Linked DNA regions of Struthio camelus. The protein of the gene in region 1 interacts with the protein of each later gene in a biochemical or structural test. Links are inferred from orthologs where the notes say so. Each region holds a gene or a part of one and is shown in the gene's direction. Other genes may lie near its edges.

Region 1 (7,599 bases):
TACGATAAGGTTAACATGCTTTGTCATTTATTTGGCTTCACTTCACTGCTATGGGCAAGGCCTGTGGTATTAAACAATCCTGTTTGTATGTAAATAAATGCCCTTTTAATTTGCCATAATTTCAAGTTTTTTGTTTTGTAGTTGAGAATAATTAACATACCTTTTATGATTTTTTTTACTCTGTTCTACCTTCCGGGGCATACTTTCTCTTCCAGACACATGTGTAACCTCCAATAGCAATAATAACAGTTATGAAGTATGTCTGCAGGGGAGACAATTTCCCTAAAAACCTTTAAAATGTAAATCTATGCAACATTCCTGCCAAAATGTATGCTCCAGTAAGTGAAACTAATATTCTGTACTTGCCAGGACAATAATCCAAAAATGGAATAAATTCCAAACACCATACTTAAGAGAAAGTTCGTAATTTCAACTTTGCATAATAACATGCATGGTGTTCCCTCCAACTGCATAGTTACTTCTTGCCATCTGACTTTCGAAGTGTAACTTTTATGTTGAGGTGAGGGAGGAGAAGAGTGTTATATTTAACTTGATTGTATGCTTCTATTAGTAAAACTTCTGGAAAACGTAGTACACACGTATTGTATTCTAACCAGTTCCATGAAAAAGAAGAAAAATACTGATGCAGCCTTATTTGGACAGATAAGGATAGAATGCATAACCACATGCTTAATATATTTGGATTAGCAGCTATAACAATTACGATCACAGTTACCTTTGATGTCAGATTAGTTTTCTACAATTTAGTTCTAGTTAATGCAATAGATTACTCTTAACGCACACATCTGGGAATAACATTTGATTTATAATTATTAGTATTTTCTGACAAGGAAGGTTGTTAATAGTTGTGTTTAGTCTAAATTATGAACAAATGCTCTATTCGAAAGTATAATAATGTGTCTATGTATTCATACATTCACATGCATATACAGTGGCCAAAATTATGCTCTAAGTATTGAAGGGTAAGGTATAAAAACTGAAATTTATTTTTAATTAAGGTAGTGCTTATGAAAAAGGTTTATTGGAATCTTTCCTTGGGTTTTATTCATAATTCAGAAATGGAATTTGCCAAGCAGAGAAGTCAATACTTACATATCTATGACTATGTCTATATAAATATACAAATATGTAAATTATACATGTGTGTGTCTTTTATATATATAAAAAAAATATATAAAACATACACATCGATAACATCCAACAGCTAAGTCTACGCACAAATACAATACCCAGAGTGATTAGACTAAGCAACTCTTTCTGTCAATACATCTGTTTCTTAGGAGACAGACTGACTTGTGCCATAAATGCAGTCAAATGTCCTTCAGAGGCAACATCCTTTTTCCAGGGAAGTCAATGTTTGTGAGTCAAAAAGAGTGGAATCAGACGCACTCACATTTCATTTGCTGGATCCTGTTCCCATTACCATTTTAAAAGACTACATTCCCAACGGTGGTCTAATGGATGACTTAATGGATGCTTATGCTTCTATTTCTAAATACTTTTTTGTGCATTTACTTTTCCTTCATGTCTTCTAATAAATCTATGCAGTACACCATTAACACTAATCTGTGCTATTTTACTAGCAAGATGTGAATACCAGAAGTAAATCAGGAAGACAGACATGTCATCCAATATTGATGTTTCTTCCATGAGCATTTTTTAAATTGGCTTCAGAAATGAAATATTACTGGAGACTAATATTAGACAAAATCAAATGTTTTTTTTAGTTCCCTCTTCATCTCCTCCTTAAGAGTCCTTTCTGACAGACTATTACATTAGTAATTAGAAGTATTACTTTACTTACTTTTGTCATAATAGCAAGTCTCTGAGAAAAACTTGTTTTACAAAGCTATTTGTAGTTTTTATTTAAAATTACATGCTTTTCTATATGTAGACAAATTGATTAATCTTTAGTTTGTAAACACATTTATACTTGGCATGCAAAGTAGATTCTCTTCCCTCCCAGTTTAAGGATAACAGTATAGTTCAAAACTATACCGTACTGACCGGTACGCTACCCGCACTAACGAAGGCATGACACCACCCCAAGCCCTGCGTGACAGCGTACACCACCCAGCCCACCCCTTAACCTTCCTTCTCTGGGAAGCAGCCGCAGAGGTGACAGCTTTACTCAGTGTGGAGTCTGTAAAATGACTCTCTTTTTGTCCTACTTGGTAGCACCTTCTGTGGAAAGAAGAAACAAGTAAATATGAATTGTCTATTGGGTGTCTGTCTAGTCATCTCCCTAAACTGGTTATCAAGTAGACCTGCAGGACAGCTACTGTACTCCAACCCTCAATACTTTTCCTTGCGAAAACTGTGTCAGCATGAAGATAATCAGTTATTTTAAATGAGTTCATTACGTTACAGTGATGCAAATTCCTGGTACAGATGTGCTGCCGCCTGTTTACCAGGCGGCTAGGTTTGAGGGTGCTGCTAAGTTGGTATAATTATATCCACGCAAATACTTTTAATACAGGCAAGGCCTAAGGTAGCATGATTCTTTGAACTTCAGTGAGTATAATCTACTTAATATATACTGCGACAGCCATGGTAAAATCTGAATATTATTGTAGACGAAATTCTACTTGAGAATAGCAGATTGTGTATTAAAAGAATTATCTGGAAGATATATCCCACACAAATACAAGTTGCAATGGGAAGAACTACTGCACAGCTGATATTGCTATACATTGGAAAGAATAAACTGCCATTTGGTTTTGGCCCATTTTTAGCTGCAAATATGCTTACTAGTGTCACTGTATTATATTTCAGAGGGATGTCAAGGTCAAGGCCAGAGCAACAGAATTAATAACAATAGTTGTTACTAATTCTGTTATTAATTCTACATTGAATGTTCTACATTCATCTAACCCACTGTGGTTCTTTTATAGATTGAATAATGATGTACACAAACGAGCTGTACCTTCTTTTTAATATTTCATTCTGGAGTCATGCAACATGGAAAGCTGGTGGGACGCTTTATAGAGCAGTCACTTTTATAACTATAGCAAATCGACTCTCAACATTTAATTTAAAGGATCAGTATGTTAACAGGCAAATGTTAGATCAAAAAATGTGAACGTGTGATTTCCAGATCTTGAAAATGGTTACGTTTTTCTCAGGTAAGCTATGGAAGAATGACTGTCAAGCAGGTGTGATTACATGCACTTCCATGTACAACAGACAAAAAAGAAGCTAATCAACTGGAGTTCTTCAATCTGACAGCTGTAATAAACAAGAGAAATACAGTGTAGGGTAATTTTTTTTTCAAAAGATAATGTGCAAAATTAAAACAATCAAAATAATCCTGGAAGTGTACAAAGACCCATGTATCTTAAACTTTACACAAGAAATTTCCAACTCGTGAAAGTGCCTTCACCAAGGCTGCACTTAATGATCTTCTTTTAAATATTAGAATGGTATTCCACTGTATCTCGCAAATAATGACTTTTAAAAAATTGTTTATGGGAGAAAAAAACAACTATCACACGAATATGATAACACTTGCAATTCAAATATGTTTGGAGAGAAAAACAAATCAAACGAGAAGACAAGCAAAATTACAAAGTACCCAGCTTCTGCAGAGATGGCGTATTCAGTAGAACACTCCAGATTTCTTTTTAGCTTGAAGGGTGTTATCACAACAGAGCTGACTGAGTAAACATACTTGGCAGCAACAAGGGTAGACCATGATCCTAACCACATTAGCTAGAAGAAGCAAATTTAACAAACAAAAAGCAAAACACTTGGACTTTTTGGTGAACTAATTTCTGTTGTCATAGCAATCATTTTAGCTTTATGTTCTTTAGTCTTATGACATTTATACGTAGGTGTAAGGTATACAGCATCTTCACATTTTTACTTAAGACACTAATCTGCAATTGCTCAAAAAGAGGGATAATTACCTCCTATTTAGTCCTATGACATTATTCATCATTTTGTCTTATTCCATCATGTTTTATTTCCAAACACTCCCTTTTTTTTCCCCATTCAAACGTGGGCTCATTTTGTTCAGACTGTGTTAGGGCAAAAAAACGGTGGCTTGCTGGGAGAACAAGAAGGGGTGGCACGCTCTTGCACTGGTGGGTTGTGGCAGAATGAGTTAGCAGACCAGGCCCAAACTTTGCAGCGGGCATATCTACAAAACGTAGAAGAGTTTCTTAGAGGGACAGCGCATAGCATCTTTTTAAATATTCAGAGGGGAGCTCAATGGCACCTGGTTAATTTTACAAGCAGCCCTTCAAAGTGGGAAATCGGAGAAAATTAGTGCAGAGAAACAAAATTAGCACCAACCTACTTTTAGATCTGATCACGTAGGCTAACATCTCTGCGTGCTGAGCCCCTCTGCCCAGTGTGCCGCCTTGCCGGCAGCAAACGCAGGAAGTTTACTGAGGGGACGCTAATGCAAAAGAAAAACCAAACCGAACCAAACTAAAACCAACAGTGAGGGAGATGGATGGGAAGCCCTAAGACGATTTTTCTCCCCCCCCCCTTTTTTTTTCTGTCCTACCCACGCTGCAAACCGGGAGCGCCGCTGCGCGGGGCGCGCTGCCGGCCGGGGCCGGGGCCCCGGGGCGGTGAGCGAGCGCGGGGGGCCGCGCCGGAGCGGCGGGGGGGGCGGCGGGCAGGATTAGGTTTCAGGGCCGCCGGGGCGTGCCTGCGTGCGCTGCCCCCGCGGCGTGGCGCGGCGCGGCGCGGCGCGGCTGGGCTCGGCGCCGCTGCGCGGGGGCGGGCAGGGCGCAGGCGGCGAGCGGGGCCCGCGGAGCCGGCGCGGTAAGCGGGGCGCGGGGGGCGGCGGTGGCGCTTTGCCCCGGCGGGGGGGGGCGAGGGAGGGGGCCAGCGCCCATCGCCGGCCCCCACGGAGCGGGGTGCCGGCCGTAAGGGAGTTTTGAGTTTATTTCATGTGCATTTGATTTATTTCATTTATTTCGCAAAGTTGTTCTGTTTTTTTTTTTTTTTTAATTTTCCACTTATTTATTTTCCCGAGCGGCTGGGTTTTGCGGGGGAGGGGGTGGTGGCGGTGTGGAGGAGGAGAAGAGAGGCCTTGGAGGGAAGGGGGCCGGGGAGCTGCGGGCGCCGGCGGAGCCTGTTGCGTGTGCCCGGGGGCGGGGGGGGGGGGGCGGCGGGGAGCGGGCTGGGCTCCCCGGCCGCCCCGCGCCTCCTGCCCGATGCTCCCCGGGCTCGGCCCGCCTGCCCGGCACTCCTCCCGATGTAAACAAAAGCCGGGTCTCCTCCTGTTGCTGCAAGGCTGGCTTTCATTTTGCTTTCGCTCCCTACTACCCCTCCCTCCTTTTTTTTTTTTTTTTCCTCCTCCCAGTGGGGATTTTTTCATCTTTGCAGAAGGTCTCCTCCCTCACCCCCCGGCTTCTCACCTGCTGCGCTCTGCGCACCCGAGACCTATTTTGGAAGGTGTGTTTTGCGAGTGATGCCGTGGTGGTGTTTACCGCTCCCTCCTCGGGGAGGACTGAGCTCGGCTCTGAAATCCCCTGCCCTCCGAGTGTGTGGGGGGGTGAGGTGGGGGGGGTGCTGCGGCCGGAGGGGGAAGACGGGACATGCCGCAGACATGTTGCATGCGCAGTGGCCTGCGTCGAGCCCGAGTGGGATGTGACTGATGGGAACCAGCCTCCTCCTGGACCGCTTGTGCCAGAGGGTTTGCGCAGCGCTAGCAGCCGGCGGCGGCAGCAGTGCTGGGCGATGGCCCTGAGACGGACCCCCCGCAGCAGACGCCACCACTGCCCCTACTTTGCTTAGCAAGTCGGTGGTCCTGGAGGCGCTTAGGTTCTCAGCCAGGTCTTGTGGCGCCAAAACTCAGTTATAAGTGAAAACCAGCAAAACTCAAAAGGCCCAGCCAAAACCACTAGTTCTGTGCAGCAGATCTGTGTGAAAGACTCCATAAAAACTGGCTGGCTCTTTGATGTCATTGTAACTGCTGATAAGAGGTCACCAGTGTTTTTGGTCTTATCTTTCTTTATCAGTTATTTTATTGACGTTGGGGAGTTCTTGCAGTTATGGTCTCAATTACAGCTTTCTAAAGCCCAGTGGGTATTTATTTAAACGTTAATCCACGTTACACAGTGCCTTTAGAGGGGCCTAAATTTTGCCTTTTGATAGATTTGGCCAATGGATACTGCATAAGTTATATTAAGAGAAAGGTATAGTTTTCGGAGTAATTTCTTTTCCTGTGTGATTTTCCTTCTTCCTTCAAGAACATTCATAAACTATTGGAAAGAATAATAGTCTGTCACAAAGCTGGCAGCTTAACTCCCTGTACTGCATTTAACAGATTTGATTTATTATTTTGCTGAACAGTGTTTTATCCTTTTTCTCTCCTCGTCCTTTTTTTTTTTTTTCCTGCAGTGGTCAAAATAGCACCCCAGCCGTTTATATTTTTGCTCCTCAACGCTTGCAGGAAATTTTCCTAGTACAGCCTGTTGGATGGAAGATGTCATTAGTGGTTTTGATAACAGAAAGTGCAGCACGGGTTTTTTACTCAAGCAGAGCAGTGGCCTACTGTGTTAAAGGGTCTGAATTCTGCAGTTCTTGGAAGTTTATTTTGAAATGCCAGTTGGTATCAGTATCAGCAGTGCATTTCCCTAGATAACAACTGAATGGGAGGGAAGAATCTGAACTAGGAAGGAGGAAAGTAGTAAAATGTTAATGGGAAATGCTACTTGATGCTCACAGGCAAATGGAAAGGTGTGTAACATTAGAAGAAAAGAGCGTAGTACTAAAATATCTGAGGACATATTTACATAGATATTAACTAGCAACAAGTTTTATGATAGAGAGCATCATCTTAGCTTTTTTTTCCCCCAAAACTTTTGTCAGTTTTTAGAATATATTTTTTGTACTTCCATGTTATTAACAGGAACATGCATGTAACAGTTGCATGTAACAGTTTCTAATGGTTTCCTTTGTGTTCTCAAGAAATTTTTCTTCAGGAGCTGGATACATTCTTCCCTCTCTTAACGTGAAAGCGTACTAGGAAAGTTAGATCAATATCAACACTAGGGAAAGAAGAGCTGCACTGCTTACATACTAATTTTCTGTCTGACTCTGTGTCTGTGAGCCCCGGGGGGATTAATGCCATACAACTTTTTAGTCACTCAGAGCACTGTAGATGATCTGTGCTTCTTATTCTTTTTTCTTTTTTAATTGATCCCTCTTTAATCACTGTAGTGAAAACCGTTATAAAGACCCTTTAAATCATCTGATCCGTGTTTCATATAAGCAAATTTAAAATTCTGTAGATAAGATTTAGTACACTTTATATCTAAATGGCTTTGCATTAAAAGCACTCCATTAAAGCAGTTTAAAGCTAGTGGAGTACCATGCTGTTGGCATACAGTCTTACCATTGGTAGAGGTAGTTTTGTTTCGCCAATTGGAATTCCCAGCAAGACAACATCTAAATATGTCATTTTGTTTTCAGTGCCCTCTTTTTGCTTAAAATAATGCTTTGTGGTACTATTGGCTCGTGCTTCTGGAATAACTGCCGAGGCAGTATTGGGGTATTTCTCTCACAGGCTTTTCAGACCTGCTCCTTGCATCTGAGCAGCCTGCTTATTACGTGTTG
Region 2 (7,831 bases), on another chromosome or scaffold:
GATATGAAAGTGGATTTGGCGATAGTTGGAGTTTGTGTGGAGAGACTTGCAGGCTATGTTTTAATAGTGCTGTTTAGCCATTGAATACAAGATGCAGAGCGCTTGAACCTGATCATTTGAATTTTGCAATATTGTTGGTGGTTTTTATCCAGCTGTTGGGTTACGGCTATTATAGAAGAGTCAGCAAAAAGGGAAGAGAGGAAGCTTGCTTTGCTTCTGGTTTCTAGATGTGTATAAAGAGAGAGACCAGCAGAATAGCACGGGACATGCAGAACATTTAAAGTGGGGTAAACACAGATCAAAAGACGGGTTTGGGGGTAGGTAACTTACAGTAAAATGCCATACACATGCCAACATGTATGTGTGATAAGTCTACAGGTGGTCATATCTTAAGAGAGGGGTAACTAAATCACTGCCAAATCCTTCACATTCTGCACTTGCATACTCCCATCAATGTGCGACTCTGTCATGTCTAACACATAAAATGGAAAACAGAAATAACAGAGGTTGCAATTGCAGTTTGTGCAATTAGTTGAAATGCATAACACAAGCAAAAGGTCCCTGTGACACCCACATGGTGCTGGATAGAGAGATGGATAGAGAAGTAGAGAGGTTTCGAAAGACAGGCTATGCAGAGAAGACAGAATATTAGTAAATATTCCTGGCACACTGACAACCTTGCATGTGTTAAAACTGAAATGCTTTTGGCTAGTTCCTAAAAAAAAAAAACACCACTGTTCTTTTTTTTCCAGTCACAGTTTCTGGGGCTGTTTTCTTTAGGTTTTAATCCAAAAAAAGGCTCTATTCTTTCCAATAACTTCAATGGGCTTTAGATGAAGGCCTTAGAAAGTGTTTGGCTTTCTGTCCTGCTCGAGTTCACTCTTTTCACAGTTGAGGACTGGATCGATTAAACTCTAGGAAGTGCATTAATGCTGCCAGCTGCCATTGGCTCCACGGCTTTTGAAGACAATCAATTTTTCCCAAGGCACACACCACCTTTAGAGGGGCAGTGAAAGAACTTCTCCAGTTTTAGTACTTTATACTTTTAAAAAGGCAGTTTATTTTACATGTAGACAATACTAGATGTCTTTTTCCATTCCAGATATATGCTAACATTCTTCTGCCTTCATTAGTATATTAATGAGGAACAGCAAACTGTTAAGAAAAGACTACAAGCAATTAAAAAAGATGTCATTATTGATGTTGCAAAAGGAACAGCTTGAAAACCTTCTGTGCTTTTCCTTTCGAATAATGCCTGTTAAGATTACCCCTCCTTCTTTACCCCCTTCCTCGTGCAGTAGTCACCTTGATCTTCCCAGCTATCCAGCCTTATGGCTGACAGCAAATGAGCTACTAACATTTGATGCTATTTTTTTTTCTCGACTGCACAGAAAATGAATGTAAGCTTTGTAATTTTAGTCTCTGGAAATAGATATGTGTTACTAGGCTAAGCTGCTGTGTTGAAGACGTGAGGCATTAAAATCTTCAGTGAAGGTAATCCTTTCTGTTTGTTTGATATATCCCTTTCTGCCAAAAAATCTATTGGCATGTGAAGGTGAAACTCCGACACTAGACGTTCACGCCTGCAGACAGCAAAACATTGCCTGAGCAACTGGAAAAATATATGGACTCCTTCTTCTGCACTGTGTGAGTCACTGGATGCCTCACAGGAGATCCCTTGGTGCTGGGGATTGCCAGGTCTCCCGTGCACGGCCCCGAGGTTTGCTCCGGGCGGCAGCGGGGCTGCCCGACTGAACGAGCTGGCGTGCGACTGCCTGCTACGCCCTGCGAGCAGCGCGATGTGCTTTTACAGGTCTGTTTGGATGGGCCTGTGCGTCAGACACCCAGCCTTGCCCAGGCGGGTTTCAGATCCCCGTGGCCAAAAAAGGCAGCTCCCTGCTTCCTGTGTTGCAGTGTGAAGCGGAGGACAGCCTGCCCCGCGTGACTGCAACCACGGATGGATGCACCAGGCAACGTGCTTGTCCTCAAACAGCAGCTGCCTTCACTTTAGGGGGCAAAACCTGGCGTTTCTCTCTAGCCAGTGAGAAGAGTGAATTGGCAAATCATCCCATGGGCCCCAGGCACTGCTTTGGCAATGAGATACCTGCTCTGCTGCTGCCCAGAGCAGCAACAGCAGCTCTATGGGGGCCAGAAAGTCACTGCACGGAGACGTTTGAAACAGCCTTATGGCAGGAGGAAGCCCAGCAGCAGGTCTGATAGGATGTGGCCTGCAGAGGTGCCTGGGAGGGGAAAACCACTTTGGGGTAAAAAATGCCTAAACTGCCCCTTTGGAGAATTAATTCCCCAATCACCTCAACTTCAGTACAGCTACAGGGGGAGGCCTGGCCCTACAGGGCACGTAGCAGCGTGATGTGCAGCACCACGATGCCTCAAAGTTTGGGATGTCCATGCTGCCGAGCTAGGTGCCCCCCACAGTGAGCGCAGGAGATGGGCTCCTCCGCTGGCGCTCCCATCGGGGAGCGCTCAGGCCACAAGGATGCTTGAACTTGCTGATAGAAATAATTCAGATTTGTGCCTTTTCTTGGCCTGGAATGCTTCGCTCAGGTCCAAAGTTCAGCTGCTTCACGCGACGGGGATTCAAAGCCTGCAACGGTGGCTTTGCTTGCGGGCTGGCGGGAGCTGAGCCCTCGTCCTTGGGCAGCGCCCCGGCACTGTGCCGGGGCAGAGGTGGGCAAGCAAAGGAGGGCAAAGGAAAGGATGAGTCACCCCCTCTTGCTTTTCTCTCTTGCAGCTGGGCTGCCATGGAGCCAGAAGTGCAAAAGGGAACAGAAACAGAGGCAGGAGTGAGCACAACTGCAGCTTAGCCTAGTGGTTTGCACTCTCAGCTCCACTGCTTCTGCTTCTTGGACCATCTCTGCATTTAATGGGACTTAAAATGCAGAGAAAATCTAGGCTGGTAACTGTTGAATGTGTTTTGTGCACAGTGTCTTGCGATGAGAATCCTTTATTCTTCATGATATTGAGATGGCTTCTGCAGAATTACTGAAGTTTGTATGAACAAAAAACGTGCTAAACTCCTCTCGGAAGCTGAGTCATTCAACGACAGTTTCTAAAAAATCCCAGACAGTCACTCCAGCTCCAGCTTATCAGGTGCAGGGTGAGTTGGCATCTGACCCCATTTATTGAAACAATCTGGAAAGGAAATACAGCATTACTTTGGTAAGGAGAAGAAATAGTACTCTCCAGAAAGCAGGCCTTTTAAGAAGGTGGATGTAACAAATTATCCGGGCAAGCGTGTCACGTGATGAAAGAGGCATTCTCAAAACGCATTCAGGAAAACAAAATGTGATCAATGCCTAACTCTTCCACATGTTTTGGTGTCTGTGAACAACCTGCTTATCAGTCCCAGTGCAATTATCGCAGCGTGCCATGTGATGCAGATGTCATCAGGCTGCTATTGCAATGCCAACATTAGTCATCACAGCATCTCTGCCTGTTGCAGATAAAAGGCAGTCTGAATTACTGGGGCATCTTCCAAATGGCTCCAGCGGGCACAGTTCTCCTCTGGCCGGGGCCGTGCTGCACGTCACAGCTTCTTCCTAAAGGTCTCTGCCCCAAAATCTGCCTGCCAAGCAGCTTGTGGGGTCATTTCCTATCCTGCTGCAGTTCAAATGAGCTACGTTAGCGAAGACCCCCTATTTCAGGTATCTAAGGTACCCTGCTTCACTGACCAAAGCGTGGCCGGGGACATGCACTTGTGCGGCTCTGCCAGCAACGCTTGACAGATGGGGAGACAGCTGTGAGAGTAACCATACCAGCCAGCATCACCACAACTGGGAAGGGACACAAACCTACGGCCTTACATGCCGCATGAGTTTGCAATGTCTGTGCTAGGCACCCGTGGAGCGGTCTCAAGAGGACCCCTAATTCACTGTCACTCTGCACCTCGCAAATTCATTTAAAAGGGATTGCTAGCATTTTAAACGGACTTTGCACTGTCAAGGCAAACGTGGGCAAATGTTCACAGCTTGCTCCAGAGACTGAAGGTCCTCGCCTCACCCTTAGCTAAGCTGGAGCAGTCCTGCACATGATTCCCTATGTCCTTTTTCAGCTTCATGAAGTAAAAAATGCTGAGCTGTGTTTGCAAGCCCCCCTCTATGCAGAGATTTGTGAAGTCTGGTGACACAGGTCTTTGCAGACACTGCACATCACCCACTCAGCCCCCCTGCCATGTGGAGCACGCCCAGAGGGCAATTTTTACCTGGTCTAAAGGTCCTTTATACAGCTAGAGAGAAGGGATCTTGCTATAAATGAGAATCAGACACAGGTGGCAATGTAGGGTAGGCTGCAAGCGGGATTACCAGGAGAGCTTGGGAGCATAGACGACTACAAATGTAGGTGCTCAGAAGGTTTTAGGAGGAGACTCTCCATTCACCGAGCAATGGTAACGACCCTGCGTGGATGCCTAGCCTGCGGCAGCTAGGAAATAAAACATAGCAGCCGAGAGACACTTGAATACATCTGATCTGCCGGTGTGCGCTGACACCACAGAGGAGGAATAACCAACCTGTTACACCTACAGCGCGCACAGATACCTACTGCTCAATTGCAGTGGGCTAGGAGCACCCATTTAACGCCGATCCACTGATGAGTGGTAAAATGTTAAGGGGCGGTAAGGCATTTGCTGCAGACACGTGTCCATGACCTAACAGTACTGTGTATTCAGGTCCTATGAAAATTCAAGGAAAACTAGTCCTTCGGTTCTGTAAATTCACCCTGGAAGTGTGGGCTGAGTCACATTACCCATCAGCTCCTGGCTGCCTGCTTATGATGATGTTTTTGATGTGCTTTCTGCAGTAAAAAGCCTGACTAATAACCGCTGGCATGTGTCGTCTTAATAATTCCAAGAACTACGTCCCTAATGATCCGTGTTAAGCTTTATAGCATGATTTCCAAAAACATCCATCAACTGTGAGTATCGGAAGCAAATAAACAGAAGTGAGAGCCCAAATATAGAAATCCAAAAGGCGTCCAAGATCACTGCTTAGCTGCAGGGCCTCTTTCATTGGATGAAAAGTATAAAACATTGCCATGTGATTACTAGTACCACTCCTTGAGCTGAAAACATTTCTCACTTAAGAAAATATAAGATCTGTTAATAAGGATTTACTTCCCCTTCCTACTGCTCATCACCCCTCTGTGGCTTCTGCATAAATAGCACTCGTGTTTTTTTGATTCAAGTTTCTGTGTTTTTCCTTTGCACTAACAAAGCTGCAAGTTGTGAACAACAAAAAGCAGAAGAAGGAAATACCGAAGACACCAGAAGGCAGAAAAGCTGAGGTAGGACAAGATTTGTCTGCTTTTTCTTTTTCTGATGTAGATAAAAAATGGTTGTAATAATTAAAATGCAACTTACTTGCGTTTCTTGTTACTTGCTGTAAGCTTTGTTTTTGCTAGCAACTATAATCACTGACTAACGTTCTTTATGCTAAAGCCAGGCTTGAAAATTTTATTTGGAAGAAAAAAGTGTGACTTGATGTAAGTAGGAGTTTTACCAGACAGAAGATAGCAATCAAGTGGTGGATCTGAGTGAGTCCTGTTTTTTTAGCTAGACCAATATGACAAACTTTGTTCATGGCAAACTTTTAAAACAAAAAAGTGTTAAAGGTCAAGATCTCGATTTTTTTTTTATTATCATCCATGTAGAAAAGTTAATAAAACGCCATACGTTTCAGTGAATTGAATTTAGTGTTAATTTCAGACATCACATTTTGTTATATTTATTTTTGGTAATGCTGCTCCTGAAACATAAAATGTGTGCTAGAAAGAAAGCAAATGGGAACTTTAAAAAAAATTAGAGCTTCTCTTTTTTTCTCATAGTGCGGCAACAAATGCAAGTAATCTGACATGAATGCTCCCATGTAGCAAAGATATCATAACAACCTTCCTCTTCAGATAACAAACACGGGACTCTGGTGTCTGAAGTATTCCTCAGACAAAGGCATATTGTGATAGACGTGCAGAGCATCTCTTTTTCTTGCTACCCAGAAGTTTATCTTTATCTTTATCACTAAAGATATTGTCTTATCTGTATCTTATCTGTATAAAGATATTATCGTTATCTGTATCTTTATCACTAAACACAGAACCATATTTTGCATGAATAGATTTCTCTATTTGACTTTGCATATGTGCAACACCGTATTTAAATTAGGTTCTTCGGTAGTTCCTCGCTTCCTGGTGAGCGCGACGTTTCAGAAGGGCAGATATCAGAACCTTCACTTGAAAGTTTCCAGCAGTCTGGACATGAAGAATTTCATCCTCACACCTTTAGCAGCAGCACCCCTCCAACAAACCTCCCCAAAGGGAGGGATTCCTCCTGTTCCAGCCTGGCGCAGAAATCTTTCCCGCTGTCGGCTGAGTTACGGGCTGACTTGGCTGTTCTTGATTTAGCCCTCTACCAGAACTGGGAAAGCCCAGGGCTACTGACTGTTACGGTTTTCCCAGTAATAATTTTTTGACCTACAGAGTCATACAGGGTTTTTAGGATCACTGTTGGTACTGGTTTCACTTCACAAGCAGAAAGTAGGAGCAACACAGAGAAATCAATTGAGTTGATTTGTTGAGTTGAGTTGACCAACTTTTGTTGAGTTGATCAACTGAGTTGGTGGTGTTGCATAAATTGGGAGCAGAGTACAACTGTAAGAAATGAGCTGGTGGCTCAGACCAACCACCGTCTAGCCCAATATTCCGTCTCTGATGGTGGTGACAGGCAATGCTGTTTAGAGAGACCATGAGAGCTGGATCACCTTCTGCAGTGCATTGCCATTGTATTCCCCCAGCACCCCTAACTGTTGTTTAGGGGTGCTAGAGGGTATATCCCTGCCTAGTCCTTTATTTCCCATTTATTGTCCTTGAATTTGTCCAACCCTGTTTTGGACCAGCTGATACCAGCTGTACTCACTGGTTGAAAACAGGCTCCCATCAAGTCTGTTGAGTGTCCCTAGTGCTGCAGGACCCATGAGCAACAGTTTGCATTCACACCATCTGACACTTCGACACGTCTGTAAGCCGTGATCGCATTCTTCTTCAGCCTTGTCCTGCCACACTGAAGGGTCCCAGCCTCTTAGCCCCTGCTCTGTCTCTTGATCATTTCACTCACCTCTCTTTGACCCTCCTCTAACTCCGTTATGTCCCTCTTGGGTGCAGAGACTAGAACTTCACACGGTGTTCACGGCAGGGATGCATGGAGGTTTTATACAAAGATGCACCCTGCTTTTTTCTGCATAGCCTTCTTGATGATGCCCCTCATTTTGTTGGCTTTTTCGGATGTTGCTCCAGTCAAGGCAGAAATGACTTCAGTAGCCTGTCAACAATGACTCCATCACCAATGCCAAACACATGCTCTTTCCTGAATGAAACAGCTAGTTTCAAGTTCTGTATCACATAGGCATGGTTTAGATTATTTTTCCGAAGCTGCATCACCTTACATGAAACTACACTAAAGATCATCTGCCACCTTTTCAGCATAGTGTTGAAAAGCTCAGGGTCATCTGCCAGCCTGGAGATTTCTCTGCACACACCCTTCTCCAGGTCATTGACAAAGATACTGAACAAACCTGGACCAAGCACAAAGCCCTAGAGACCACGCTGCTGATTCATTAAGCCCTACACTTTTTCTTCCTACGCTTTAACCAGCTTTCAGTCCATAAAAGAAACTGTCTTCTAGATCTCTGGCAACTTAGTTCATTAGAAAACTTTTGGTGCAGAACTTTATCAAAGGCTTTTAGAAAATTCAACTATATAAATACATATATATAGATATATACATATATGTATTTATATATATATTTGTATGCATATATATATA

What was found. The genes of interacting proteins can lie anywhere in the genome.
Region 2: the proteins of MPDZ (region 1) and CYSLTR2 interact in a test that uses a peptide from one of them, tested with the Homo sapiens proteins (2 studies listed by IntAct, with this or other methods). The link is inferred for Struthio camelus from reciprocal best matches to the Homo sapiens genes MPDZ and CYSLTR2.

The regions. Positions count from the first base shown.
Region 1 is NC_090982.1:21,775,392-21,782,990, reverse strand, and holds the start of MPDZ (multiple PDZ domain protein), read left to right. Parts: upstream 1-4,583; 5' UTR 4,584-4,601; intron 4,602-4,722; exon of another isoform or gene 4,723-4,797; intron 4,798-5,341; exon of another isoform or gene 5,342-5,433; intron 5,434-7,599. UniProt on the Homo sapiens protein: Member of the NMDAR signaling complex that may play a role in control of AMPAR potentiation and synaptic plasticity in excitatory synapses. Promotes clustering of HT2RC at the cell surface.
Region 2 is NC_090942.1:192,358,689-192,366,519, forward strand, and holds the start of CYSLTR2 (cysteinyl leukotriene receptor 2), read left to right. Parts: upstream 1-4,825; 5' UTR 4,826-4,932; intron 4,933-5,047; exon of another isoform or gene 5,048-5,232; 5' UTR 5,233-5,301; intron 5,302-7,831. UniProt on the Homo sapiens protein: Receptor for cysteinyl leukotrienes. The response is mediated via a G-protein that activates a phosphatidylinositol-calcium second messenger system.